2 linked regions of the Rhinolophus ferrumequinum genome follow. The main gene of each other region encodes a partner of the protein of the gene in region 2 in a complex. Links are inferred from orthologs where the notes say so. Each region holds a gene or a part of one and is shown on either strand. Other genes may lie near its edges. The genes, in order: EMC9 and EMC2.

Evidence for each region.
Region 1: EMC2 (region 2) and EMC9 share a complex: the UniProt entries of both Homo sapiens proteins name them as parts of the ER membrane protein complex. The link is inferred for Rhinolophus ferrumequinum from reciprocal best matches to the Homo sapiens genes EMC2 and EMC9.

What each region holds. Positions count from the first base shown.
Region 1 is NC_046289.1:74,299,888-74,314,898, forward strand, and holds EMC9 (ER membrane protein complex subunit 9), read right to left. Parts: upstream 10,233-15,011; 5' UTR 9,867-10,232; coding exon 9,669-9,866; intron 9,567-9,668; coding exon 9,490-9,566; intron 8,625-9,489; coding exon 8,555-8,624; intron 8,467-8,554; coding exon 8,372-8,466; intron 8,068-8,371; coding exon 7,887-8,067; 3' UTR 7,837-7,886; downstream 1-7,836. Other genes in the region: FITM1 (fat storage-inducing transmembrane protein 1), read left to right, coding at 1,576-1,841, 2,227-2,839; PSME1 (proteasome activator complex subunit 1), read left to right, coding at 5,199-5,237, 5,816-5,848, 5,994-6,056, 6,176-6,286, 6,375-6,420, 6,539-6,636, 6,891-6,959, 7,044-7,111 and 3 more; PSME2 (proteasome activator complex subunit 2), read right to left, coding at 11,196-11,276, 11,369-11,455, 11,763-11,817, 11,976-12,043, 12,195-12,263, 12,841-12,938, 13,026-13,056, 13,164-13,250 and 3 more. UniProt on the Homo sapiens protein: Part of the endoplasmic reticulum membrane protein complex (EMC) that enables the energy-independent insertion into endoplasmic reticulum membranes of newly synthesized membrane proteins.
Region 2 is NC_046297.1:49,044,293-49,059,888, reverse strand, and holds the start of EMC2 (ER membrane protein complex subunit 2), read right to left. Parts: upstream 6,882-15,596; coding exon 6,842-6,881; intron 177-6,841; coding exon 63-176; intron 1-62. UniProt on the Homo sapiens protein: Part of the endoplasmic reticulum membrane protein complex (EMC) that enables the energy-independent insertion into endoplasmic reticulum membranes of newly synthesized membrane proteins.

The sequences.
Region 1 (15,011 bases), on a different chromosome or scaffold from region 2:
TTCTGACTATTAAGATCTCATCAGATTTTTTAAAATTAATAATGGTGAGGTATATAATCACTAGTGTTTAGATTCCATTGGATGTATTTAAAAGAGTGATAAAAATAGCTTTATTTTTTGAAATGTTAGTATATACAATCCACTGGAAACTATGTCCTTTGCAACTTTTAAAATTACTATGAAAAATTTTTTGTTGACTTAAAAATGTATGAGGGTTCTATAGGTATTCGTGTATAGGGTCCATGAGCAGAAATTAGGCTGAAGGATGGGCTTCAGGATCTGGAAGGAACCTGATTGATTAATCCATCTTGATCAGTTTGCAGAGGAGGGCACTGAGGACCAAGGAGAGTGAGTTGATTTTCCCAAAGTCACATAGTTGGGCCCAGAACTCAGGTATCCTTAAGTTCATTCCTTTCACTACTTCGCAGGCCTCCACTGTGCTCTGAAATCCCACCACCAATTTTGAGGAATGAGGAAGACAAAAAGGGACTGCAAAACAGTTACTGAATAATAGGGACATCTCTTGGGTAGGTTGCACTCCATACTGTGGCTCCAGCCCCTGTAGTCAGGCCGAGAAGCTAAGTCTTAGGTATGGCTGAGCCTAGGGTAATTGGTTAGAAGACACAGCCTATGTTTTGATGGCTGAGGATTTTTCGTCTAGATCTCCACCCTGCTTTCGCCATCACCTAGGAGTAAACCTACTTTTGGGGACTCTGAGAGTCCAACCTAAACCATCACCATCTCATATAATATGCCCTTTTCAGGACACTTGAATTTCATCTGTTGGCCATCATAATAAACATACCAAAGAAGGGCCCCCTTTAGATCTGATGTCTTGTGCATTGCACAACCATGGTTTACACAGCAGCCCTAGACCCAAGCTAACCCCTCAGAGCTCAGACCAGACAAGCTGGGGCTGCGCCAAGCCCCTGAGGTCCCAGTGCAGAAAAGTGGGTAACCCTGCTGACGTGCTTCCCAGGCCTGAGTTGGAAACAATGCAGTGCACGGCCATCTTGCTGCAGGCTCAGTGGTGAGCTCCTGTGCTCAGACCTGAGGAGAGAAGCTGGGCCACGATGATGATGAGGCAGACACAGATTTTTTTAAATGACCTCCAAGGTTTGGTTAGTTTTATGTTCCTGACCCCTGATCTCCCTGTGGAGCAAACACACAGTAAAATTGGGGTGGGGTATGGTTAACTGGCTGACCAGACAGGCAGACCCAAGCAGGCTATGGACAAAGACAACCCGGAACAGCAGGTCTGGCCCTGAAACATGAACTAGACCATGGTTACAGCTTGGGACACAGACCTAGAGAGCCAAGGGGACACAGGGCTAACAGGAAAGGACACGGACCGCAATAAGGACACACACCCAAGGCTGGGACCCTGCTGACGTGGCACCCCTCCACCCTGGCCCCTTACTGCCCCCCGCCCCTCTCCCCCGCCTACCAGCTGCCAACAGGGCTCTGCTCTGTGTCTGCCACACCTGTCACTGCCTGTCCTTGTGCAGGGGGGGCCCCATCAGCCCCTCCTCAGCTGCCCAGCAGAGCAAGCAGTTAGTGGGGAGGGGAGGGAACATGGAGCGGGGGCCGGTGGTGGGGGCAGGGCTGGGGGCCGGGGCCCGAATCCGGGCACTGCTGGGCTGCCTGGTCAAGGTGCTGCTCTGGGTGGCCTCTGCCTTGCTGTACTTTGGGAGTGAACAGGCTGCTCGCCTCCTGGGCAGCCCCTGCTTACGGCGCCTCTACCATGCGTGGTTGGCAGCAGTGGTCATCTTTGGGCCCCTTCTGCAGTTCCATGTCAACCCTCGGACTATCTTCGCCAGCCACGGCAACTTCTTCAACATGTGAGTCCACGCGAGGCCGTGGGCGCCGGCTCCCTCCATTCTGGGATCCTAGCTCCCTCCAGGCTTCTGTCCTCCTGCCAGTCCAGGCACTAAAAATAGGCTAGAAGGTTGAGGAGAAGGTCAGAGGAGGGGGAGGGGACAGCGTTGTGGGGGTACAGGGGAAGTCAGGAGCAGGGCTGACGAGGAAATATGGACCATAGAAGGCTGAGTGAGTCTTTCAGGAGATGGCAAAGTTTAAGTGCACGGGGGTGGTGTGGTAGAAGGCACAGGACCCAGAAAGCCAGTGATGAAATATAGAACTGGCAACAGAGCAGTGATGGGAACACAGACCAGGGTGGAAAGATAGGGCTACGAGGTCTCACTAGCCTCCCTTCTCTGCCCACAGAAAGTTTGTGAACTCGGCATGGGGCTGGACATGCACCTTCCTGGGGGGCTTCGTGTTGCTGGTGGTGTTCCTCGCTACACGGCGCGTGGCAGTGACTGCCCGGCACCTTAGCCGGCTAGTGGTGGGGGCAGCTGTGTGGCGGGGGGCCGGCCGGGCCTTTCTGCTCATCGAGGACCTGACCGGCTCCTGCTTGGAGCCTCTGCCCCAGGGCCTGCTGCTTCACGAGCTGCCCGACCGACGCAGCTGCCTGGCGGCCGGCCACCAGTGGCGGGGCTACACGGTCTCCTCCCATACCTTCCTGCTCACCTTCTGCTGCCTGCTCATGGCTGAGGAAGCAGCAGTATTCGCCAAGTACCTGGCCCATGGGCTACCTGCTGGTGCACCCCTGCGCCTCGTCTTCCTGCTCAACGTGCTGCTGCTGGGCCTCTGGAACTTCTTGCTGCTCTGTACCGTCATCTACTTCCACCAGTATACTCACAAAGTGGTGGGCGCTGCAGTGGGCACCTTTGCCTGGTACCTCACCTACGGCAGCTGGTATCATCAGCCCTGGTCTCCAGGGAGCCCCGGCCATGGGCTCTTCCCTCGCCCCCACTCCAGCCGCAAGCACAACTGAAAGAAATAAAGGCACATTAGGCCTGGCTCTGGCCCCTCTCATCATTTGGTGGGGGACCTGGAAAGGGTGGAAAGGGTGAAAAGGCTGATGGTCGCTGGGGTTCCTCAACCATTCCTTGAATGTCCTTCCTTATGCTTGATGGCCATGTCTCCTGCTGTCCTTTCAGTCTTCTAGTCCTTGCAGACTTCGAGCTATCTGAGGCTCTGATGTCAAGGAGTGGCACTGCTAGGGCCAGGTAACAACGCACTTAGGTATGGGCAGCATTCCTGCTGTGCAGCACTCTGTCTACAGCCTGGTTGATTTACTCCCCCGCCCCCCTGCTCCACTGAATCCCCTTCCGCCTTCCTCTAGGAGCTGCCTATCTAGGCACCCTACTCAGGGACCCTTCCCACCCTTTCTTCCCCATAGGGCTCTATGTGTACTCATTTATTTAACAGATGTTTATTGAGCCAAACATAGCTTCAGACCTTGTGAATAAGGGAGACAGGGTTTTTGCTGCTTGGGGGCTTATGGTTTACTGGGGGAGGCAGATGATAAATTCACAAATAATAATAGCAAAACTGCATTGTGCTTACTCCGTGCCAGGCAACATTCTAATTGTCTTAAAGTTCTTTATATAAATTTAACACATTTAACACTCACAACAACGCTATGAAGTAGGTTTGGTAGTGTTCCCACTGTACGGTTGCAAAAAGGCACAGAGGTTAGGTAACTTGTTCACAGCTAGTAAATTATCAGTCAGGATTAAAACCCCGGGGCACTATGGGTCTGTTGTCTGTGCTCTAAGCACAGACAGCCCTCCTGTGGTCATTTTTTGTATGGCCTGATTGCTAAGAATGGTTCTTACATTTTTTTAATGGTTGAAAAAAAAATTAAAGAACATTTCATGATATCTGAAAATTACATGAAATTCAAATTTATGCCCATAAAGTTTTATTGGAACCTAGCCATGCTAATTTATTTAGTTATAACTGTTTACCTGCTACAATGGCAGACTTGAGTAGTGTAGTTGCTACGGACACTATATATAGCCCACAAAGCCTAAAATATTTACTATCTGGCCTTTTACAGAAAAAGTTTGCCAACCCTGGTGTAAACCACACTATCCTCAAAAATTAAACTAATATCAGAGCCAAGTGCTATGAAGTTACTAAACCAGGCTGCTTTGTAATACAGGGAGGTACTTTATAAAGAATGATGGACAGTTCTCTCTGACGAAGTGATATTTGCACGGAAAAAGGAATGACAGACAACGTGAGGCAGGGGCAGGGTGTGCCAGGCAAAAGTATTAGCCAGGGCAAAAGCCCTAAAACGGGCAGGAATGAAAGTGATACCGACAACAAATGAAAAGCCAGGTATTTACAAGTGTAAAGTAAACGGGGCAAACGCAGTAGAGAGTGAAGTTGAATGGCAACAGGTGTCAGGTAGTCCAGGCAGGCCTTAGGGGCCAGGAAAGCCCTGAGGATTTCATCCCAAGGTCAACGGGAAACTGAGAAAGAGTTATAAACAAGGAGAGGGATCCTGCTGCTGTGTGGAAAGCGGGCTACAGAGCAATGGAGTCCACACAAGGGTTAGGAGAGAGCTGACTGGGTTGGAGTGGTGCCGGCGTCTGAATGTCACTGCACGGCCAGAGGATGCCCGTGGAGCCAGGAGCCCAGGCTGGCAGTGCTAGCGAAGGGAGACCAGGTCTTGATCCACCGCTGAGGAAAGATGGAAGAGGGTCAGATAAGGCTTATCACTGTCCCAGGCCGAGCAGGTGAAGAAGAGAGCCAGCAGTCACAAGGCAGAGAGAGATGGGAGGCGGGGAGTCCAAAGGCGGGCACTGGGCTGGGTGGCAGGAGATGTCGGGCCTTGTGAAGAGAGGAAGCGAGAAGTGGAAGCAGTAACGCCTGGAGCGGAAAGAGAGCAAAGAGGATGGAGGAGGTGGCGGCGTGTCGAGAGCAGGGCGGGAGGGAAGAGGCGGGGTGGGCGGAGGCAGTAGGCGGGGAGTCGAGAGACCGACTTCGGCGAGGAGGTGGGAAGGGGGAGGCGGGGCGTCGGGAGCAGGGCGGGGAGGGGGAGAGGGAGGCGGAGGCGGGGCGTCGAGAGGCGGGCGAGGTGGGATGGAAAGGTGGGATGGGCGGAGCGGGCGGAGGAGGTCGGTGGAAACGCTGCTCTCTAGCAGTAGAGGGAGCCCCGCCTGAGCGGCCTTCCTCCGCCCCCCCAGCCCTCTCTTCTCTCCGGACTGTCCCCGCCTCCCCCAGTGCCTCCACTCCCCTCTACCCAGGAAGGCCGCGCGCATTCCGCGCGCTGCTTTCGCTTTCCCTTCACAGTGCCCACTCCTCGCTCCTCGTGCGGCGTTAGGCTCCCCGCCCCGGCCATGGCCACGCTCAGGGTCCAGCCTGAAGCCCAAGCCAAGGTGAGCGCTGCGGGTTCGAGGAAGGGCCCATTAGGGAGGCGTGGCGCCGAAAGGCTGAGGGCGTCAGGCTGCCGCCCCCTAGCCCCCAGACGTGAGTCGGGGTCAGTATCGAGTCCAAGTGAGCCTCTGTGCCCGGAGCACCTGAGCCTCAGGGAGACCGGCGGGGTCCGCCTGCCGGGATTGGAGAGGCGGCTGAGTGAAGCGGGGTGAGGTGAAGCGGAGAACCAGCGTGGAGGGGAAGTCCGCTGGCCCGGGGCCGGGCCCACACACAGTCTGGGTGCGGAACCTGCCTTGTCACCTCGTTGCTTTTCTCACGGGGAGGACCCCGGGGCCCACTCCGTCCCAGCCCGAGTCACAGAAGGCTCTTACACCTCTCCTTATAACAGCCCAGGAGACCCGAGGGATCTGTTGTCACTTGAACCACTTCACCGCCAGGAATGTTCTCATCCCCCAAATCCCGCCCCAAGGGGATCCACTCCACCTTTGCCCAGGCCAGGCCCTACACAATCCTAAGGGACCGGTCCTCATATGAACTGGCCATAAAGCCAGGTGTCTGAAGGGCTGCCTGTACCCCACAGGTGGATGTGTTCCGTGAAGACCTGTGTACCAAGGTAAGAACCGCCCCCTCAGTACCCCGTTCCTACCCATCTCCCACTGCTTAGCCTTTCATTGGTGGGCAGCTTCAGCCCTGCTTCACTACCCGAGAAGGGCGTTGGATTCTGACCTCCATCCTCCCCTGCCTCACCTCACTCCCAGACAGAGAGCCTGCTCGGGAGCTACTTCCCCAAGAAGATTTCTGAGTTGGATGCATTTTTAAAGGTACTGGGGCTGGGCAGGGAGCTAGAGAGTAGGAGCCAAGGGGAGAGTCTGAGGGGCCATGTGAGTGAGGAGGTGAGAGAGATGCCCTTGCCTCCAGCCCTCCTCCTACCCTGCACCAGGAGCCAGCTCTCAACGAAGCCAATCTGAGCAATCTGAAAGCCCCTTTGGACATCCCAGTGCCTGATCCAGTCAAGGAGAAAGAAAAGGAGGAGCGGAAGAAACAGCAGGAGGCAAGCTGGGAAGAGCTGGGAGGAGGGAGCCAACCATGGGGAATATCAGCCTTGGGCCTGACTCCCGAGAGCCCCTCTTTCCCTGCAGAAGGAAGACAAGGATGAAAAGAAGAAAGGGGAAGATGAAGACAAAGGTACTACTATGGTGGCAAAGGATGAGCCTCACCTCCCAGGAGCTCCTCCTGAAGGATTCTTCTTCCCCACCCCTCCCGCAGTCCCAGCCATGTGCCTGACCCATTGTCCGCTCTCTAGGTCCTCCCTGTGGCCCAGTGAACTGCAACGAAAAGATTGTGAGCCTCCTGCAGCGCCTAAAGCCTGAGATCAAGGATGTCATTGAGCAGCTTAACCTGGTGAGCCCTACCACTGCCACCGCCAGGCTTTAGGTCAAACCCTTTGTCTTCCTTGGTCCCTGCCAGTTAGGGCATGGCACTTGCCAGGTCTTAGCAGGAGAGGGCACAGCAAATGAAGCCAGAAGTCCAGGCCCTGGGACTCAAGATGGACCTGGCATACCTACACCCACTGTGGGCAGGGAAACAAGGAAGGACAGGAACCTGGGAATTGGGTTGAGGGCTGATGTGGCTTTGATGCCTTTCCCTCCTCCCAGGTCACCACCTGGTTGCAGCTGCAGATACCTCGAATTGAGGATGGAAACAATTTTGGAGTAGCTGTTCAGGTGAGAGCGCTGCCCACTCCTCCACCCTCCTTATGTCTCTAGTCCATGCTGTTTTCCACTTTACCTCTTGCATTCTTTCCTCAGGAGAAGGTGTTTGAGCTGATGACCGCCCTTCACACCAAGCTGGAAGGCTTCCACACTCAAATCTCCAAGTGAGTGTCTGCCCAACTGTACCTGCATGCACACTCAGCCTTTGGCTTGGACAGAGGCCTGGGCTCTCTCCTCCTTCTCCTGTTCCACACCTTTCTACTTCCCACAGGTATTTCTCTGAGCGGGGTGATGCCGTGACCAAAGCCGCCAAGCAGCCCCATGTGGTAGGTGAGGCCGAGGTCAGGGTATATGGGGGGAAGGATATATTTGAAGTGAGGCCTGACCCAGGTCTCCTGCAGGGTGATTATCGGCAGCTGGTGCACGAGCTGGATGAAGCAGAGTACCGGGACATCCGGCTGATGGTCATGGAGATCCGCAATGCTTATGTGAGGAGAAAAGGGTGGGGCAAGGGTGGGTAGAGGCAGCTTTCTCAGGCCACCCACTCCCTGACCCTGCAGGCTGGGAGTGATGGATGACCAAGTTCAGTCTCACCACAAGGTTAGAAATGGGGCATAGAGCTGGGGCCTACAACTGATCCCCACTCCTCCCTGGCCATGTAGGCTGTGTTATATGACATCATCCTGAAGAACTTCGAGAAGCTCAAGAAGCCCAGGGGAGAAACAAAGGGAATGATCTATTGAGCGCCTCCTCTCATACTGTGGTGGATCCAGCAGAGACCGTCCTATCTTTGACAGGGGACTTCAGACTTTGCCCCACCTTCCACCTGTTGAGGTTTCTCCCTCCCCTTGCCTCCCAGGCACAATAAATATAGTCGTAACAATACCCATCAGCTCAAGTCTCTTTATTGGATCTTGACACATGTACCCCGGCCCTGGCTCAGACATTTCCATTGGAGGGACCAACCCACTGGGTGATTCGAGTGTTAAGCTGCTGGTTGGTCCAGTCCTGCCGGATGTCATCGAGATGGCAGTCAAAGTCCACAAGGTGCTGGTAGGCCCGGCCTTCCAGTAGTGCTCCCACCATCTGCCGTGACTCTTCCCAGTCCCTCCACATCACTCTGAAATAACAACCCGCATGAAGGTCTAACTCAGCAGGCAGTAGGGCCAGACACACGACAGAAGTTAGGTCTAGAGTGGGTGGCCTGAGAAAGGGTCAGGGAGCGGGTGGCCTGAGAAAGCGCCCTTGCGCCCTACCTGGCCCTACCTGGCCCTGCCCGTGCCCTCTCACTTAGGTTCTGTGGTGACGCTAACACTGCTCGAAGGCAGCCCGCCGGTTCCAGGCGACCCTTTGTGCAGGACCAAGAACACCAGGCCCAGGTGTCCTGGGTTTCCAGGGAGAGCGAGAGAGAGTGGGGCACTCACAGGTTCTTGTCCTTGGGGACCCAACGGGCACCATGGTTCTCCAGGACGATGACTGGGGGCACATGAGACTGAGGCACCAGTTTCTGATTATCCAACTGCATGGACAAGAAAGGGCAGGTGAGGGCTTCAAGGATCCCCTTTCCTACTTTCTTTCCAACCCCCTCCTCCAAACCCAAGCCTCACCATAATAAGTACTGCACCAGGGAAGAATTCTGCAATCCGCCCAGCAATTTTCAAGGCCAGGGGCCCAGGGCTGTGTAGAGGGAAGATCAGAGGCGTGAGGAGTGGACTGAGCAGACCCTATCCATCTGAGCTGCGCCTCCCAGGTCTCAGACATGGGTGCAGTGATTGCCTCTCCTGTGGCTGACCTGGACCAGGGAAGGGGGGTCAGGCCTGCTTGATGCTTCATGCACAACTGCTTGATGCTTGAGTGCTGCAGGAAACAGGTACTCAGCCACTGCTGGTAAGAGTGGAAATCAAAGGTGGTCTTCTTGGAGGGTAATTTGGCATAACCATCCAAATTCATATTATACATATGCTGACCAAGAAATTCCACTATATAAAGAAGTTACTGTAGTAATAGGACAGTGTCTATAATAAAAATTTGGAAACAACCTCAATGTTTAATATAAGGCATAAATAATGGTACATCCTTATTCACACCATATAGCTTTAGGGCAAAGTAGATCTTGGTGTAGAGATGGAAAGATATCAGATGTTTATTAAATGAGGGAAAAGCAAATTACAAAACAGTATGTATAATTTGATCTAGATACATGGTTATTATGTAAGTAGATAATTTTTTCTGCATGCATATAAAGAAATTTCCTTTTGCTGGTTGGGCTTCCAACCAGTGTTTTCAGCAGTTGAGGGGCACTTCAGCTAAAGGAGGTGTCAGCCTTTTCTTATTGATACACAGGTGTCCTCCCCACCTCTAGAGCATTTTTATATTTATATTTCCTCACTTCAGTACCTAGTCTTGTGCCTGGTGTGCAGTCCCTGCTCCTAAGCGTTTCATTAAGGAAAGATGGAAGGAATGACCAAGAGGAGTTCTCTTGACACGCCAGCCACCCTCACCCAATAACCCTTGGCCTTCTGCCTGTAGCTACCCCACTTACCTCTGGTCGTTCAGAGCTGCATTGGCATGGTAGTACCCAGCCACTACCAGACCGGTCTGCGCGCCCCACACATCCACCTGCCGTGGGAAAGGGGCCATCAGTAAACTAAATCGTGCCGCCCACCCTGCTAGGGGCGTTCGGGGGTTTCGCGGAGGTTGATGAGCGTCCAGCGGCGGCACCTGGTTGAGGGCGACCTCCAGCATGACAGACAGGGCCAGGTGGTTGTGGAACAGGGGCACACAGTCGGTGAGGCACAGGCATTCTCCCGACGCCGGCGCCGGCGCCAGCAACAGCCCGTTGACCGCGGCATGCGGATACCGAGCTGCGTGCAGGCACATTTTCACGTAGGCTCTGGCCGAGATCTCCACCTCCCCCATGGCGAGCGGGACTCCCGCTCGCGTCTGCGAAGCTTCCTCCAGCGCCCTTGCGCCCTACCTGGCCCTGCCCTTGCCCTCTCACTTAGGTTCTGTGGTGACGCTAACACTGCTCGAAGGCAGCCCGCCGGTTCCAGGCGACCTCGGCTCCAGAGTCCGGCCCCCACCAGGCCGGGTCGCAGGCGGTCCCGATTGCATGCTGCGGCACCCAGCTCCACCTCCGCCCGCCCCCAGAGGGCGGCGGCAGATACAGGCTCGTCTTGGGGACCCAGAGCAGGAGGCTCTAATCTAAGCAGGACTTGCTTCTGGAGTCCCGCCCACATGGTGCCCTTTGATAGGCTTAGATGTTCTCATTTTGTCCTATCACCGGCCGCGTCCAAACCTTGTCCCGCCTTTGTCTCCAGCGTACTGGAAACAACCCACAACTGTAAAGAAAACTGTATGCACGCTGATTGGCTAGGATACCCGATTTCGGCTCTTGATTGTAGGATGGCTTCTTGTTACCTGTGCGGTCCGCCCCCAAAGGCCCGGCGGAGACTACAGGATGGAGCGGGCGCCCGAAGTCTGGTGTCCTGGAGCAGTGGCTCTTCAAACTTGGGCACCAAGCGGGTCGCCTCGCTCCTACTATCGAAGGAGTGGATTTGTACTCTAGACCGGCTCTGCCACTTAGTAATGAACCATGGCCTTGTTTAATGTAATATCTGCAGAAATAAAGACAGCAATTGGCTGAAGGGGAAAAAAGGACCCCCCCCAAAAAAAACCATGTACAGACCCACCCTTCCCATAATGTCCTGTGGTGTAATTTCATTCATCTCCATGCCTTGGGAGTGTTTTTTTCCCCTCCCAGGGCTTGAGAAAGAGTCCACTCATTCACCCATAATTCTTCCAGAGAAACCTCATTGTCCCTCCAGGCTTGCTCTGAGCTGATGAGGTGATGATGAAAGGTAGTTCGTTTCTTCATTCCCTGACCTCAGCCACAGAACTTTCCCCTTGTCTGTTCATAGCCTGATTATTCCAATAAGGGCTCTGCCCAAATGCCATACCTTCCAGGAAGCACTCATGAGATCCCCAGATGGAAAAAATCTTGTGAAACTCCCAAATAAAGGTTATCTTCATGGTTATTATGGCATGTAACAGTTTCCACCCTATTCTTTAGGATGACTTCTTAAGAACAGGATGGACATCTAATTCATCTTTGTCTTCCTGGCACCACATTCACATTCAGTATCTTGGACATAGGCAGCACTCAGTAAATGCTTTTTGAATGAATGACACACACCAGAGGTAATCCACATATAATATAGGTCATTTATTTCCCTGCTAGCCCTGGGCTCAGTACATAGATGGCTTCTCTTCACCCTTTGGGTTGATAATTTTCTCCATGTTGTTGCTGATGATATGATAAAGCTCAGCCTGGAAGAATGCCAGAAGGGCAGCAATCAGGTTCTTGGCCTTTCCTCTGCCCCTCCTGGTCCACCTCCCTTAGAGGCTTACCCCACACTCACATAGAAGGCCCTCAGGTCCAACACCATGGCCCTCAGCTCCCCATAGGCTGCCTCATCTCGCTCATGCACTAGGGCTCGGTAATCCATCTGGGATGGGAAAAGCAAAGCTGAGTCAGCCCCATTGAAGGTCAGGACAGTCTGGTTTTCTCACACAGGGAATAGGTAACTTGAACATGAGCCCTTTTCAGCATCAAGAAATGGGATTCTCACAGGACCAAACAGAGAAAGGGGTTAAGGTTTCTGAAGCCCAAATCAGTTTTCCTAGGCAATGCTTTTGGCTTAATATTCCCCACATTGGGAAGGTCATAAACAAGACAAAGAGAACCTCTATTCCCCTTTCCTCACCCCACCCCCAGCCAGCATCAGGGGAAAGGCTGTTGGACAATCCACTCACTACATGGGTCTCCTTAGAGGCCTTGGCCACAGCATCCCCGCGTTCTGAGAAGTACCTGCCGGAAACAAGGGGAGTAACCACAGGAACGGGGGTTCATATTCTCCCTCAGACCCTTCCCAAAGCCCTCTATCATCCTGATGGGACTGCCCAGCTTTGGGAGTCCCAAAGAAATGTCCCCACAGCCCCCTGTGCTGGCCCTCCAGCTGCCCTCACTTGGAAATTGTTGTCTGGAAAGCTTCTACTTTGGTCTTGACTGCATTCACCCTCTCCAGCACCTTCTCCTGTGGGGACAAAAGAGATGGGAGGCAAAGAAAACACTTCATCTCTTCCATCCTTCACTCACCATCTCCTTCCTCCTCTGTTATGTCTAGCTCCTATCCCCCACTCCCCAAGTCTCTCACCATTTAATATACTTATACACCCTTCTCTTACCTGGATTGCCACCCCAAAGTCATTTCCATCCTCAATCTTGGGGATCAGGTGCTGGATCCATGTGATCACCTATGTTAAGAGGTATCATGTAGGAATCATTCAACAAACTTGCTGGGTTCTTCCTATTTCCACTACTCCCTAAGGCGACATATTTAACTGAGCATTTATTATGTACCAGGCACTGTGCTACGTATTATACATCTCATTTAATCGTCACAGCAACCTTTCAAGGTATATCTTTTTATTATACCCACTTAACAGATGAAAAAACTGAGTCACAGAATGTCTAAGTTACTTATTTAAGATAATCAACTAGGTAAGTGATAAAGTCATGATTTGATTCCAAGCAGTCTCCCTCTAGGGCCTAAACTCTTAAACCAACTCACTTGCATAGCACCTGCACTGTGTGCCTGGTACAGCAGTGAATTCTGAGATTGTGGAGGTGGATATATCCGAGTCTCTGATCTCAGGGATACCACTGTGATATCAGAGGTGTAGCAGAACAAAAGGTATCTAAACGCAAGGCACAGAAGGAATCTTCCTATTTCAGGAATAGTTCCTGAATGAAGGACTTGCATCTCTGAAGAATACCAGGGTCTGGCCTGGTTTGTCTTCTCATTCTATTTCTCCCAGTTCCCAGGCTTACCAGAATGCATTTTTCTTTGAGAGTCCAGACTTCTGGCTTAATCAGGGCAAGTAGGGCCAGGACCTTCTCATTCCCAGGAAGAAAGCCGCATTTAGGGACTATAGAAAAGAGGGGATTTAGGCTCCTTTTTCATTAAGTAGTCACTGTGCCATTTCCCTTCCCCTGGCCATCCCTTCCTCTCTTACCTTCTTTCTTCTCCTGCTTATCTGTTTCCATCTAAGGTAAAAAGGGGGAAAGTAGCTTCAGAAAAAGTCTTGACGGTTGAAAAGCCATCATCTCCACTGGGTTTATATAGTATGAGCCCTACACCCTGAGTGCCTCACCTCATCATCCTTGGGTGGGGGGTCTGGAATAGGGATGTCCAGTGGGGCCCGGAGAGAGGTCAGGTCAGCCACATTGAGGGAGTCCTCCTGCACAGAGCTTACTGTCAGGGGATGCCCAGCCTTCCCTGAACACATCCCTCCCGCCCTCTGCCTCCCAATCTAGGCTCAGGCCTCACACCATCCTAACATTCCCAGTCCACCAATCACAACCACTCACAAATGTTCTCTGCATGCTGATCCCAGTTGTTAGATAGAGAGGGTGAGTGGAGAGGAAAGAGGCCGTGGGATGGGGCAAGAGGAGCCCACACTACTCACCTGCAAGAGCTGGCTCAGGTAAATGATTTTCTGTGGCAAGAATCTGTAGAGGAATTCTTCAGCCTGCGGGTTACATTGTGAAGGTGGGAAATCACAGAAGACATTTAATGAGATGCCTGAGAAGTGGGACTGGAAGGATCCTTGGAAATCACTGAATCTAAGACCTACAAATGAGGAAACTGAAGCCCTGAAAAGTGAAAGGATTTTCTCAAGCTAGGAAGTGACACAACCAAGGTTAGGACTGTGGTATTCCTGCTTTGGGGTCACAGCGTTTCTTTCCCTCAACACCAAAAGAGGGGAGAAAAGTGGCAGAAGTGGGGAGAGTATGTAGAGGAATCAAATTAAGGGTAGAGATAAATAATTAGGAGCTTATCTTGGATGAAGTCTTGATAAGGAAAATAGGGCCCAGGTCTAGGGTGGGTTTGGGGGTCACTCTGAGAGGTTGTGACCCTCAAGTATCGGTTTAAAATTCTGGGTCAAATCGCTTGAATCCAGAAGACTTACCTCCTGGAAAAGATTTTGCCGGAAGACATCCACCTGTACAGAGAGCAGTACCCGGATGTTGGTTAAGGGTCTCAGTTGTCAAGAGTAAGATTCCACCCCCCAATGGGATGCCCTCTAACTTGGCTCAGGCCTTTCCCACAAGCCAGATTTCTCTGGAAGCCCATGCTCACTGCATATACTGGTCAGAGGGCAGGATTCTGGGAATCCCCAGGGCAGAAGTGAAAGCACTGAATAGGGAGGTTGGGGGAGCTCTTTGGTACGGCTGTGGACCCCTGGAGCACCCAGCTTGGCCGCCATCCAGGAGGGCTCCCTGGACCCCTCCTGGCCTCCGGTCTCCATTACCTGTTTGCGGGCTTCCCCGCTCGGGCGTACCCCACAAGGCTTGGCCATGCTGCTCCAGTTGCTAGATCTTCGGTCTCCCGGTTCCCCGCCTGGGCTTTCGCTTTCACTCCCCACGTCCAGGCCCGCCCCCCTTAACCCCACCCCTTTCTTTCTTTTCCCCCTCCCCCTGGCAAGCCGCAAACCGTAGGGAGCCCCTCAGCCATTCTCGGCCAGTTGAGACTAGAAGAGGCGGTGCCGACTCGGTCACAAGCCCAGGGGCTGTCCGAGGGAGGGGCCAGGACGGGTGGGACCGCGGAGCCTGAACTGGAGCAGTCCTTCCAGAGAAGGGGCGGGGCTTACAGGGAGAGGCGAGGGAGTCCGGGGAAGTCCGGGACTGGGGTAAGAGGGGTGGAGTGGGAAAGGGGGTGTTCAGTGCTGGGGCTCTCCCGAGGAGGCTCGACTCTGAGGAGGGGGCTGGAGAGAGATCAGAGCGGTGGGAGAAGTAGTAGAAATGAAGGCCTGGGGCTGAGTAGGAGAGTATGAAAGGGAGGAGGCGCGGGGCTTCCTCCCGGAGGGCGCCTTGCCTTCAAGACCGACTGGAGAAGTTCGCTTGAGCCGGGCTCAGGCCGGCCAGAGTCGAGTCTCCGGCAGAATGGTACTTCTCCGGTCTACTGGTCTAGATAGAGAGGAAGGCTTTGAGGGAAATAA
Region 2 (15,596 bases):
AAAAACTAAGAACAGCAAATGGACATGTGCTGAGCAAAGATATAATAAATTAAAGAACTTACTATCATCTCCAAGTCTAGAAGCATATTCATTAATTAATTCCTCTCCAACTTCCACAATTTGCTCACTGTTTCTTGAGTTTTCTTCTCTCCATTTTCTCATTTTATCTCGCATTTCTGAAAAGTAAACTTATTATACATATATATACTTGATCAACGTCAAAAAATTGACAAGATGAAATCAACTATTTTGGTAAAAAAAATAAATTCATACTAATATATAAGTCTGTGTATGAAAGTTCATAGAGCAGATAATCAACTTAACAAGAGCAACCGATCCTTTGGAAGACTGAAAATGCATTATAACCAGTATTACAACTATCTTTAAACGTAATGAATGGCATGGGTCTGCTACAAAGACCCTCTATCCCTTTAAACAATCATGGATCTTAACCTTTTTGACAACACTCAGAATTTGATAAAAGCGGGGGATTATTTTCAAAGAAAAATACATAAAATTATACACAGAAATCTCAAAAAGTTCAAGGCGCTTCTGAAGTTCACCCATTGACTACAGAATACAAAACTGTCTAAATCAGGGTGTCATATTAAGCTATAAGCACTGAAAGGATATCCATCACAAAACTTCCTTAGTAACATTACTAAAACAGTAATATGTAAATGTAATATGTAAAATAATATGTAAAGATACACAATTATGCAAGGAAATAAACAGCAAAAAAAATAGAACAAAGGATTCTTTTGATTATATTCACAATAATAAAATGAAATGTAAAGTCAAAAGCACTAACAGACTACAAAAGTCAATAGAATTTTGAGTATTGTTAATACAATAGAAACGTTTGTTTCCAAGAACAGCATTTTGATAACAGAAATTAATAACTGGGGAAAAAAAAGAGTACTTTATCCAGCAAACAAAAGATTCCTTTTTTATACAGTTATGGTAGAATTAACTGTCCAATTCACCAATCACATACATGCTTTCTTACTCTTACCTCTGATAATTTTACATACTCATCTGAAGTACCACCTTCTTCCTTCTATACATGTTGAACAGATTTAAAAAGGTGAATTACTTGTTTAACAGATGAGTTAAATAAACAATACACTAGTCACCTAGAGAATAAATATAAGAGAACCACATGGGATTTTCACTACTTTTGCATGCATTATCTGGGTCCCTACAGTTCGAAGTCTACAAAAGAAAACAAAAATCATAAGATGAAAATAGACTCTAATTGAATTTATAAAAATGGTCTTGGAAAATTATTACAAATTAACATACTGTGAATTCCTTCTACTGTAACCTAGAAATCAGCTTAACTCTCATTCTGAACAGGAAGTAATATTGAACTGAATCTAAGAGGTTGAAGAGGAATTCAGCAAGTAAACAAAAAAGTAGGTTATTCCACACAGAAGGAACTCCTGGTAGTTAGAATTAAAGAAACAGATCAGAAGATGAGAGGGTAGGAAGTAAGATTAAGTTACTAAAAGGCCTTACATTTCATACTGAAGAAGTAGAAGTTTATTTCTGTAGGTGCAGAAAAACAACTAAATATTAAGCAAAAGGAAAGCAGCATGATCAAATCTACATGTTAGAAAGTGGCCCAAGTTCTTCAACAGATAAATTGTAAGGAAAAACAAGAGAATAAGAACCTAAAGATCGAGAGACTTTTAAAATATATCAAACTTCATAAAAAATTGGCAAGACTAAAGTATGGTGTCTAAGGATATATATGCATTTGGAGAATAAATTATTTTAAAATGCAAGGAGTTCTTTACTAGAAAAGTCAGGCTAATGGTTACTGATGAGAGAAGAGGGGAGTTGTGGTTGGGATGGGGCACATGGGAGGGACTTCCAGGAGGGATGGTGAAGTTCTATTTCTAGACCCGGGTGGTAGTTTGGAGGGCTTTCATTTTGTAATAAATAATTCAGCTGTAAATTTGTGTAATTTTCTTTCCATTTTATTTTATAATAAAAAGATACTTAGAATGAAACAGGGAAGGGAAACGAAGGGGGAGAAAAGGAGGAGAAAGAGAAGAAGTAGGGGTAGAGGGAGAGAGAGGCAGAGAGAGAGGGAGGGAGGAAGAGAGAGAGAGAAGAGCAAAGTCCTTTAAAATATAGATGGAAGAAAACCGTTTGTCTTTTACCAAATAAAGTATTGGGAGGTTCAAAAAGCATTTAAGTTGAGTAGCAGCATAATTTCCTTGAAATTCTGACACACAAATTTATTAACTAAACAGTTTTAAAATACAGAGCTTATGTTTGCTGGAAATGATCTCAAATCTCTTAAAACTGTTACTGTATAATATTTTGTAAACTGAAAATCAACCAAAACCACCATGGAGATATATTTCCTGTGCCTGGTTAAAAACACATGGTTCTTGACATGAAGATCCCAAGAAATAAAGTTAGACTGCAAAAGAATTAGTGAACACAAATGCTTTTCAGACAAAAGCAGCTTAAAACACACACACACAAACACACACACACACACACACACACACACACACATAACCCATACATCTCCAAGCTTTATCCCATTAACTCATCAAATTTTATAGCCTGCATAAGGTTTTAACTACTAAAGGAATGTAATAGCAACAGTGTCACTCATTTAATCACTGATATAAAACTAATGTTGGAGAAAAACCAACAAAATCTATTCACTTAGCAAACAGAAATCAGGGGAAAAAAATAGTGCTACTGTATTTAAATCCAGTGAAGAATATCTAACTAAAAATATTCTTTTAAAAATGAGGTTAGGAAAGTAGGATCAAAACAATATAGCAGCATACTATCTGTAAAGCTGTTGGGTTTACTGTCACCCTAGTGTATTTACTTAAGCCATATTTTCATACAGTTAAGTCCGTTTCCACTCACAGAACACTTCTGATAACCAACTGTTCTGCGGGCAAGTTTTCCCCATGCCAACCAATTCTCCAACTCTGTGAAATCAACTTGGTGTGCAATAATTCAATTCAATCTTGGCACCAACTACAGGGAGTTAGTTAGCATCAGACCTCACAGGTTAAGGGCGCAGTCCCCCCACTTCAGACACCAATCATAAGTCAGGACCATCTCTACTTCTGACCAAACAGGTTATGAAGTCGAATGTTCCCACAACCCCCTCCTCAGGTTCTATACTAACTAAAACAACTCACAGAACTCAGGAAAGTGCTTTACTTACTATAATTAGTGCACTATGAAGGATACAATTCAGGAACAGCCCGATGGAAGGAGGGAGCAGAGGCCCTTCCACGCCCTCTCAGGGCAAGCCACCCTTCCAGCACCTTGATGTGTTCACCAACCTGGAAGCTCTGCAACCCCCATAGTTTAGGGGGTTTTATGGTTTCATGCTGTAGACTTGATTGATAAATCATCTGGTGATTAACTCAATCTCCAGGTCCTCTCCCCTCCCAGAAAGACAAGGGGTAGGACTCAAAGTTCAAACCCTTAATCATGGCTTGGTCTTTTTGGTGACCAGCAACCATCCTGAAGCTAATCTCAGTAGTATACAAAAAGATACTCTTATCACTCCAGAAATTCTAATATTTGTTGAAAAAATATTTATTAAAAATGAAGAATGTTAGTTTTTATGCTGTTTCTATTTCCTCTCTTTTTATTCAGTCCTTCAAACAACCACAATTTGCTTTCAATGCCCTAATCACTGCAGTAAGGTTCCTAGGGTGACCTAATACAGGTCTAATGTACGTATGTGCTTTATACATCTGTACTACATATGTCATTATAGATCACTCCTTCTATAAAGAATTACTTCATTAGTTTCTTAATAACATTAAAGTTCCCCCTCTTACTTTCCGGACCTTTCATTTGCTGAGTTGAGTTCTCCAAATCCATTTGCTCCTTAATTTTTGGTGTCCCAATGCTTCTTTCCTTAACCCTCTTCTTAATTTATTATTGGTGCTTAAACCTGAGATCAACAGGCTCCTTACAGGAATAAGTGTTAAGAGGTCTGTGAATTCCCTAAAATTACATGCAAAACTGAGTGTGTACCTAAACATGTATTTTTTTTCAGCAAATATTTATTTAGTGCCTATTGTACACCAGCCATTGTGCTAGGCATTCTATCCATATCCTGCCCAAATACTCTATTCTCAAGAAACTTGACTATACCCTCTTTATAACTCTTTTCCACCTCCAAACCCCTAAGTAATAACTCCTCTATATATTAATAAGAAACCTCAATAACTTTCAGCTGGCTCAATAAATAAACCATATACTCTACTTTCTTCACAGAACCCAAGAGAGTAGGAGGATGTCAGACGTATGATATAAGTCTTTTATAGACACATGACCACTTATCCTATCACTTATCACAAGAATTACAGTACTCTTTGAACTAACCATTTCTATGGCTTTAATTTATGATGCTATTTAATGGAATTCTCAAGGATAAAGGTCCAACTGACATCCCCTCCTAAAAAAATATAAACAAAAAACTATCCCTGTAGTTTTCCCATTACCCTCTTACAATAAACATCTGCTACCATAAGTCTCTGAAAGAAAAAATACAGACTATGTTTTCTTAAAAATCCCCTAAAACAGAATTTTAATTCTGGAAAGGTCTAAACCCTCATTTTACAAATGAGCAAAACTATGTCCTAGTAATGAAGTAAGTCTATCTAAGATACTGAAGAAATTATTCCAACACTAGAAAAATGATTTATGGCCTTTTTTTGTAACAATTTGTTAATGTTTATTATTAATCCCATTTACAACTCATTTAGTCAACAAATAAGTACAGAGTTCCTCTCCTATGGCAGGCACTAGAACAAGATACGTCTGGTCCCTCCCTCCATTCTAGTGACACAAAATTTTAAAATTTAACATAATTGGGTATGTGCTTCAAGAGTATGAAAACATACAGTTAGTTAAAAAAAACGGGTAGGATTTGTTGGTGTTTTTATTTTCATTTTTTCTTTTTCTTAATATTGGCGGAGGGATGGGAAAGGGTTTTGGGGTAGGGTAGTCAAGGAAAGCTCTCTGAAATATGTGACCTCTGAGGGGGATTCTGAGAAATGACAAAGTATAATGGGAGCAAGAGAGGGGCAAGGAGGAAAGAACACTCCTAATGGAAGGAATAGCCATGTATCTAGACTTAATACAAGAGGAGTATGACGCAATTAGGGAATTCAACAAAAGCCAGCATTGCCCGATCATAGAGTGAGGAGGACAATACCTTAAGATAAAGCAAAAGACACAAGCAGGAACAGATCATCTTTTTATGTAACACTTAGTTAAAAGCACTTTTAACATATTTTCTCTTGTTCCTCAACAAACTTGTGAAGTAGCTATTATTTATTTTTCTAAGTCTAATTACATCACTCCTCTTTAGAATGCCCACAGAATAAGATTCAAGTTAAAGGACCTTGTCTAACTTACCCACCTATTCATTCTTTAAGATTCTATATATGATGCTATCATCTAAAACACCTATATTGAACAAAACTTCAAAATATCACTTTCTATAAAGCATGAACTATTTGAAACATTTTTAAAAAGCATTAAAAATAATGCCACATATCTACCATATAGCTTCAGGGAATATATCCTGACAAGCCTTTTAAAAACTATGTATTTACAGATCTGTCTTCTCCATTAGACTGTGAACACCCTGAAAGTAGGGACTATGTGTTACTTAATTTGATATATGCAAAATCTATCACTAAGCACTTAATACTTTTAATATAATGGAATCTTCCAATACAGGTAGAAACAGGTTCACAGTGTGCTAGAGGCCATGAAACCAATAATAAATCACTGAAGTCAGTTCAAGTATAAAGGAATTTTTCCTTTTCCCATACATGTTTGCACCTTTGTAATACGGGAGAGATTTATTCAACATCAGTGGATGTAACTTTCAGTCCACATGTTATCAGGTCATTGTTTTAAACATCGTAAGGCATTCCTTGAAAAAATAAGCTATTGAAGTCTGCTGTTACATGCTGGGAATGTAAATTTCAATTATAAAAATTTCATGGTTTAGAGAAACTCAAGACTCTTCTCTCAAGCATGTCTCCCGCTCAAGTTTTTGAGAAGGGAAAATCTCTTACAGAATTGGTCCAAAGTTTGGCTAATTCCAGATTTAAAGAACACACTCTCCCTTACATTAAACCAGGATAGGGAAAGAAGTCCATCACACTTGCGCACATATCCCAGATAACCAGTTCTTTTCCCCTTCAGAAAAAGAATTACTGGTCAAGAATAACAAGGAAATCGTGTTATGTGTGTAGATGTGTTTAGAGGGGAAGTGGTACTGGGAATAATTTAAAAGTGAAGAAATCAGAAACCCAGTTCTGAAGAGGGATGGAAACGTAAAGTGTCACGCAGGACACTCATATTTGTTCATGAGTCTTCTACACATCTTTTCTGCACAAAGTTGTAACCCTTAAACGGCACCTGATAAAGGCCTTACAGGTCATGTATTTCTTGGCTGCAAAGAAGCTTCAGCAAACACCTATCTCGCCGCCTCCGCGTCGCCCAGCAGCTCCAGGTCCCTCCCGCCTCATAATGGAAGCTTCCCTGGGCCGCTAGACTGGCGCGGAGGTAGGTCGGTCAGTCCACCGATAAGCACAAGCAGTAGACCGGAATACCGCAGACTCCAGTGGGTGATCGGGCCAAGGAACAGGTCAGGTCAGCCTCAACCTCCACCTTAGCCACCACCTCGGCTCACCCAATTCAGAGGGAGCTCTAGTGCCGAAAACAGACCAGAGCATCCAGCTTTCCTAGAGCAGTAGATCTCCCGAACCCCTCCCCAGAGGTTTGGTCTTTCCGCGCTCAACCCGCCCGCAGTTACCTTCCCAAGTGACATCGTAAAGCTCTGAGACCTTCGCCATCTTCTCAGAACCCAGAGGCAACTGGGCGAGAGGGCGGGGAGACGCGATCACGTGATCTGCGACCGGGCGGTGGCGAATTACGACACCGTTTCTCATTCGCCGAGAGAGAGGAGGGGGCGGGATTCGCCGCGCACGTGTACGCGGCTCTAAGGCGGGGCGATTCCGGAAGGGGGAGGGGCGAGCGGGGGATGCAGAGGAAGCGCTGATGGCCGGACCCGCGGCAGAACTTGCTTCGGGTGAGGTGTCTGTTTATCATAGCTCTTTAACAAATGCTGGGTTTTTAATGTGTGCCACTTGAGGTTTTTCATTTTTCTCTACGTAGGTGTACTTCTTCTCTTCGCAATCCCTGATTAGTCCCTCGTTCTCCTGGCCTGCTGCAGCGCAACGTTCCACCGAATCACTTGTCCCTCACTTTTTTCCTTCCTTAATAGGATTCGCTTTCCATTTCCTTTTTAATATTCAACTAAACTGATACACGTCAAAATTTTCGTTAAATCTCTTTGGGAGACTAAGTGGGATTCAGCCTTTGCAAATTGTGTTCCAGTGGCCGAGGGCTTTTTTATGTCACATGAATGTCTTCATTGCCAACCCACAGCCTTAACACACTCGTGGACCAGTTTCCCTCCGCTCTAGATTTGAAACTCCGTAAGAGCAGCCAACATGTAAGTGCTTTTAAATAAATGAATTATTGAATAAATGTACGAATGAGACCATCCAGCCCCTACACTTCATTCCTCTTAACCTCACGGGGGAGCCTCCCTCCCCACCCTTTCCCACCAGACTGATTTCAGGAACCTTTGGACCTCGTCTACTAGAACCAGGGAGAAATGTCTGAAGTGCAAACAAACAACAACAAAACAAAAATTTGAGGGTCGTAAGCACATATTTAGTATTTGGAGCAATAAGAACATGAAATTGTAAAGGGGAAATAGGTAAACTGAGGAAAGATGGCCAAAAATTCCTGCATAATAGCCATAGTTAAGGCTCCGTGAAAAGAGGCAATCAAGATATGAGAAAGAAGAAAAAGAGTCATATCCCACAAGCTAAGGGAATAGAGTTAAAAAAAAAAAAAGGAACTATCAGTGGCACCTGTGAATTTATAAAGTCAGATTCTGTAAGAGCTTCATTCTATCCAGACTAAAAAGACCTTAAAAAAAAAACAAAACCCCCATTTAAAAAACTAAAAATCCTTCACTCAGCAATTCACATATTCGAATGCTGCAATAAAGCAGCCTCATATAATGGTAAGAATAAAAACTCCATCAGATAGAATCCAGGCTCCACCATTAGTAACTGGTTGACTTTCTGCATGGTATCTCTGAGCATCAGAGTTGCTAATGTATAAGAAAAAGCTAATTATAGCTATATACAAAGAAAAGATTTACCTGGAATTGTTATCAGGATTAAACAAATTATTGCATGACACTATCATAGAGGTACCAGTTCTGTTTACATAGTTATTACATAACAAATTTACATAACTATTTACGTAGTTATTTACAGCCAGCAGTCCTGTTTCTGCCCTGAAACCCAGTTCTGCTTTCTTGACATATTCACTTAAATGGCTAATATGCCTCTCAAAGTTAACATATTGCAAACAGAACTCTGGATTCCTGCCACCAAGTCCCCCAACTTGCTGTTCCCCATCACAGTTAATGAAACCATCTGCCTATTTGCACACACTAAAATTCTAGGAAGTATCCTTGATTCTCTTCTTTGCCAACTGCCCTATATCCAGTCTTGTCAGGAAATTCTGCATTGTACTTCCAAAACATTCCCCAAAATCTATTTCATCTCCATTGCTACTACCTTAATCTAAGCCACAACTACCTCTTACCTGAATAACTGTAATAGCCTCCTAACCTCTTTAGTTTCATTCTTGCTGTGTAAAATCTATTTTCTATACAGCAGCCCTACTCGTCTTTAAAAAAAAAAAAATCACAAATGTCCTTTGCCTACTGCTCTCCAATGGCTGATCCTGGCGATAAAAACGTACTCTAAACGCTTTACCATGGTTTACAGGGTTTCACTTTGTCTGGCTCCCTCCTACGTCTCTACTTTATCTACCATTCTGTCTCTCATCACTAGACTTTAGCCATTCTCACCTACTTCAAACATGCCAAACTCCTGTCTGCCATGGGGCTGACATTTGCCCAGCTTTTCCTTTTTCCTGGAATGCTCCTCTCCAGGTAAGTGGCTGTCTTTTTGTCATTCATATCTCAGATTTAAATGTATCTAGTCATAGAAAGGCCTACTTTGACTATCCAATAAAAAGCCCTAGTTAATGCCTGTTACATTATTATGACACTTATCACTATATGATATATTTTTATTCACTTTCTGTATTTTCCATTTTATATAAACTCCTTGAGAGTATGTATGATGTCGGACAATTAAGTTCACGAACTCATTCTAGAAAAAGTACTACATACCTTTTTGCTGAATATCACTATGGTCACCTTCGAAGTACTCCCCTTGGGAAGCTATGCACTGACACCACCAGCGCCTAGTCCATCCTTCAAAGCAATTGTGGAATTCTTTTTCTGGAATGGCCATCAGAGTTGTCGTCGTATTACCCTTGATGTCCTGAATGGCATCAAAATGTCTTCCTATCAATATTTCCTTTATCTTCAGGTAAAGAAAGAAGTCACGGGATGGCCAGATCAGGTGAGTAGGGAGGGTGTTCCAATACAGTTATTTGTTTAATGGTTAAAAGCTCCCTCACAGACAGTGCCCTGTGAGCTGTGCATTGTCGTGATGCAAGAGCCATGAATTGTTCGCGAAAAGTTCACATCGTCTTTTTCATGCAGCCTTTTCAGCACTTCCAAATAGTAAACTTGGTTAACTGTTTGTCCAGTTGGTACAAACTCATAATGAATAATCGTTCTGATATCAAAAAAGGTTAGCAACATCATTGCAACACGTTCACCAACTTAATTGTCAGACCTCCTACTTTGTCGTTTTAACCTTGGAACATCCAACCTATAAAAACACCCGGAGCACAGTAAATGTTTGTTTAATGAATGAATGAATTAGATACTCAAAAAATGATAGCTCATATTAGTGATTATTAGGATAATATTTTATAGTAGTACACATGTAAATCTACTGTTTGGTTATGGATAGGACGTTTTTATTTTATAGCTGATGATTTCCTAAAAATTATGAACTTAATGAGTGTGAGGAACATGCCCATTTTTTTTATATCTCCCAGCTCCTTACCACGGTACGTGACATACTAGTATATATTTGTGGCATACACATACGAATTAATTTTTGTACTAAATTGTTGATTCCCAACATTTTGTTGAATTTTTTGAAGGAGTGAAAGCTGAAGAAGGTGTCTTTTAAAAACTTACAATCGATATTAACAGTTATAGCTAATTGAGGGAGTAAATATTTTCTAGTCACTTTAGCTAAATGCCATTGTAACTAGCTACTATTGTCTGTCAGGCAATAAACCATATCTGATACTAGATTTAAAAAGGTAATTTACAGAATTTTTGAGCTGGAATCTAGAATAATTTCATTTAGACTTAGAAGGTACTTAACGATTCTTTAGAATACTTTTTAAAAAGTTGTTTGCTTGCAACCATATTAAGGAATACATTTTGCATCATCACACAGTATGCATACATATATTTAAAACTAAAAAGCAAAATTACAAGCTAGCCTTATAATGTATCTTGTTTTCTATATTTTTCTATTCAAAATAAGTCAATTCCATTTTATTTTATAAAAATACTAGCTGTGACCCACTAATGGAAAAGGGACCCATATTTTGAAAAACACAAGTGGACACTGCACATGTTTTCTAATCTGAGTCCCTGATGTGAAATAATTTTCTCAAGTTCCTGACACTAGTAAGTAACAAAGACGGAAAATTCATAGGGAGGAGATGAGTGGTTTAGATCGTGAAAAAGGCACAGGACTATGCTCTATGATGTGCTTTTTTTGTGTAAAGCTATTTATGAATTTCATTTTTCCCCTGCAAGATCATGTTTGAATAGTTAGAATGATAGTACATCAGAATGAACTAGGGTCAGAAAGGAATAACTTTGAATAAGCCCACATTTTCTTTGAGATGGGATAAGCTTTGATTATTTATCAAGCCAGATTGGCCCCAAAGCACTTTACAGTGCTTCTCTTTTATGGTCAGGGTTTACTTAATTCAATTTATATCTCCAGACATTATGAAAGACTAAAGCGACTTCTTAAATTTAATAAACCTTATGGCATTTATAAAATGGACATTATTTAAAGGATAACATAATTGATTTTGCAGTATTCAACATCTTTATCAAATCATTTATTTAGAATCTGCTCTCTGCTTAGTTCTGTCTTAATCATAGTGAATTAAAGTATCCCACAGTATGAAACAGTTTATAACCTCTATTTACTTTGACAATTATCCTTCAAAGTAAATTGGTCTCACTACAACTCATAAAATTTACCATAGCTTTTAAATCTTGTTATTGTTTCTAGTTAGTGAATCATAACCATAATCCCTTTGTATTTAAGGGGAAATACTACTTATTTCATCTTCATTCCATGTCAATAAATTTTCACTGTGACACAGTCACGTTTAGAGGAAAGTTTTCCTTAGAGTTTTATTTACCAAAAGCCAGATTAACATGGAATTGTTTTAGGAACCTTTTGAACATTGTTTTTTATTACATTTTTAAAAGATTACGTAACTTAATATGTTCCCCCAAAACGCAAGAGCCTATGCCCCCTTTGCTGATACAACCATAGCATTTACGCATTTCTAATTTTTCCAAATTTGCAGTCATTTACAGTATACATGTTTTAAAATGTGCTAGCCATTTATTTCGCATCCAATTATATTATTTTAGAAAGCAAAGGAGAGTCTCTGGGAAACATTTCCAATGAGGTCACTTTGGTCCTTTCACAGTAGAATTCACAAACTGATAATTACCCCTCTGTGCCATAGTTATAACAGTGAAGAGGAAAGTACATCCAGAAAGAATACACCCAGAATTTCTCCCACATGGGCAATAAATTAGAGTTGTTTCTTTTTTGAGATTTATAACCATACTTGAGTCTACTTTTTCTAGCAGTATTTTTTCATTGCCCCAAAGTGCCTATTCTGTTCTGATACACACATACATCTGTGCATATATAATAGTCCTTGTGCAGAAATATATTTTCACAAACATCCCTTTTGGGTACCAAACATCCAGGAGTCCCTATATCCTGTAACTGTGACCCGATGGTCTCTGGAGCCCATCTAGACTCCATTTTCTACAATACAACTATAACTGAATTCTTTACTTGAAAAATGTTCTTTACTTGAAAAAAGTATTTATTCACAAGAAACTAATTGCATTGTGGGTAAACTCATGCAAAAATATACTGAATATTATCTTACATATTTTTATAGTTATAAGTTATTCTGTTACAGATGTAATTTTATTTTATTTTTTAATTAAAGTTTATTGGGGTGACAATGGTTAGTAAAGTTATATTGGTTTCAGGTGTACAGTCTGCAATACATCATCTATATATCACGTTGTGTGTTCACCAATGTGGAAGTTCCTCTTCCATCACCATATATTTGATCCCATTTTATCCTCATCTACCACTCCCCTCCCTCCTTACCCTCTGGTAACCATTAAACTATTATCTGTGTCTATCAGTTTTTGTTTATTTATTGGTTTGTCTTGTTCCTTTGTTGTTTTCAGTTTTATATCCCACATAGCAGTGAAATCATATGGTTCTCAATTTTTTCTGTCTGACTTATTTCTTTTAGCATAATAATCTCAAGATCCATCCAAGTTGTCACAAATGGCACTATTCCATCTTTTCTTATGGCAGAGTAGTATTCTATTGTGTATATATATCACAACTTCTTTATCCAATCATCTATTGAAGGACACTTTGTTAACAGTCCCTCTCTTTGGTGGTTTGGTAGCATCACTCTAGCCACAAATGAGTAAGTTATCCTCTCAGACCTGTAGTTTCTGATGCACCTTATCTGCCACCAGGCCACAAGGTCATTTACTGGTCATCCTTTTCTTTCTATAGTCTTTCTGACTACTCTTGGCCAAAGTTGGTTTGAAGTCCAGTAGACACATTAGGATAAAGTGGCCATCTCATCTTTCAGATCATATGCTTTTTTGCACGTGGGATGGCTTGTCTAGTCAACCCCATGGATTTATTTGGAAAAAAGATTGGTTTTCTGGCAGAATGCAAGAAAACAACCTCCCCCTTAATCCAGTCCATCAACCCCATCCATCATCACCTCATTCTTGAGCAAACGGCACAATCTCAAATGCTTTAAAAAAAAAAAACACATAATTTTTAAAATTATACTTAACATTCTTTATCTGAAAAACTGAGGTAAGGAACAATATAGGTGAGCTGCAAAAGCTGCCACTCAGTTCAAATTACTGCCACCTCACTACAACATTTTAGCATTTTAATAACTTGCTTCTGCTCATTATGTTTCTATTACAGATTTCTTTTTCATGTTTTAATAATGGACTTGAACATTTGTCCTGTGGGTGGGGTGGAGGCAGGGACAAACAGAGGAGGAATGATTTCAGTTGATGTAATTTTTCTAGCAATAGCAAGATTATGGAATATTAAACATAACCTCAATCTAATCATTAGAAAACATCATACAAACCCAAATTGAGAGCCATTCTACAATCATAACTGTCCAGTACTCATCAGGGAGTGGCAGTGGCATTATATATTGCCCTTCTAAGCTTTGAGACAAATGCTTAGTCTTAAGCCCCCATTGCCAGATTCTGATGTCATGTATGTGATGGAATTAAGAGCCTAGACTTAGAGTTATGAAAGAATCCTCAAAGTGGTTTGTGTTAAATTCAAATTTTACATACCATGTCATAGAGGGGGTAGAGCTCTTTACACTCTAGGTATCAGCAATGGATTCTTTGCCAACATACACACATACGTTGCTCTTTTTCACGAAACCTGCTGGGCTCTAATTCCAGGTTACACATTCTATAATAGCTATGTAAATTACGTAATTTGAGCAAGTTATTTTAACTTCATGGAACCCTAGTTTCCTCATGTAAAATGAGCATAATAATACTTGCTGATTATAACAAGTATTAGAAGTAATAAGCTTGAAATTCCTCACACAGAATCTGGCCTATGACACAACACACAGTGTTATATACCAGTTATTGAGTACTTACTGTATACCACACACTGTACAAGTTGCTCTTTGTAGATTATTTCATTTAATTCTTAACAACAACTTCACTTTACAGATGAAGGAACAGTTGGGAGTGGTTAAATAATTTCCCCAAACACACTATGATACACTCCTTCACATAGTAGGTTCTTAGTAAATAGTAGCTGTATCATTTTGGTCTTTGGGAAGCAGATGTGATAGTGTTCTGAATGCAAGAGGTTTATTAGAGGGCACTCCACGTCAAAGATAAAAGGGGGAGGAAGCAGAATAGGATTAGGAAAGCTTTCAGACCACAGTGCTCATCTATTACCTGTGAAAGAAAAGAGTAGGAACTAGGATTGGACAGAAAGAGCCTCACACCGTGATTTGGATCTGCTGTAGTATCAGCCAACTCTGTGGGAAAACTCCAGGGCAAAGGTTACCCATCAGAGGAAGCCTACACTGGGCAGAAATGGCCAGGTCCTAGGACCCCTACGTGTTCAGTCATTGGCTAGAGGCTACCTACAAGGGCATGGCCTCAGCTTTCAAGCTGAGATGAATCTTGAAGACTAATTAATAGCTAGAGGGTGCCAGCTCCCTGCACTCCTTGCTGCTGAATAGCAAGTGAATCTTGAAGGGTGATTCTAACTGCATCTCTGTAGCTGCCACAGTAGCCATTATTATTCTTTCATTCTGAGTATAATCTTTCAGTTTTGATGAGAGGTAGAAGTGTGTGTTCTTCTGTAGTACTAGCTAGATTCAGAAGCTATTTCACATGGAAATTACATTTCAACTCCACAGAGTGTCTTTTTCTGGTATATGATTAATAGCTCAGCCATGCTTGCCTTGTGTTGAAAAGACACAGTAGAATATATATAGCCCACAGAGGCTTGACAATTTGCTTGTTTTTATGAGACACAAGTCAGTAATTATTTATTTTCTTGGGTTGGGAATTAATGCTACTGCCATTGATAAATTACCTAGAACTTCATAGTTCTTTCTTTTTTCCCCTCAGATTCTAAATATATCCAAATAATTTTAAATTTTAATATTTTACCAAGAATAACAGTATAACTCTGAAAAATGGCTTTCCAAATAGCATTTCTAAAATTCTAGAACTCAAGATCTCCATGAAGTACTAGAAAATTCCAAAGACAATACACTGAGAATGCCCCTTGATAATTCATTGGGTAGCTGCCATATTATCATTGATGATTGCTTCTTAATAAATTTAAGCAAGGCCAAATTTTATCAATACTTTGGCTCCCAAAAAGACTCTCATTGCTTACTGCTCTTTTCCCTTTTAAATGTCAAAACATCCCTAGTTAGCATTTTCTGTGCTGCACAGATGCCCTTTGAGGAAGGACGTGACAAGTGGTCCGTATTCTGGGCTGCCAGAGGAATGATATAATGAAATTGGTACCTGATGGAAGGAGACAGAGTACATCCCAGACTCACGTGAACAGCAAAGTTATTGAAAGATTATACATTTTAAAGAAAGAGTTACAGCAACAGGAGAGGAGTGGTGAACAGAAAACTTTGGCAGT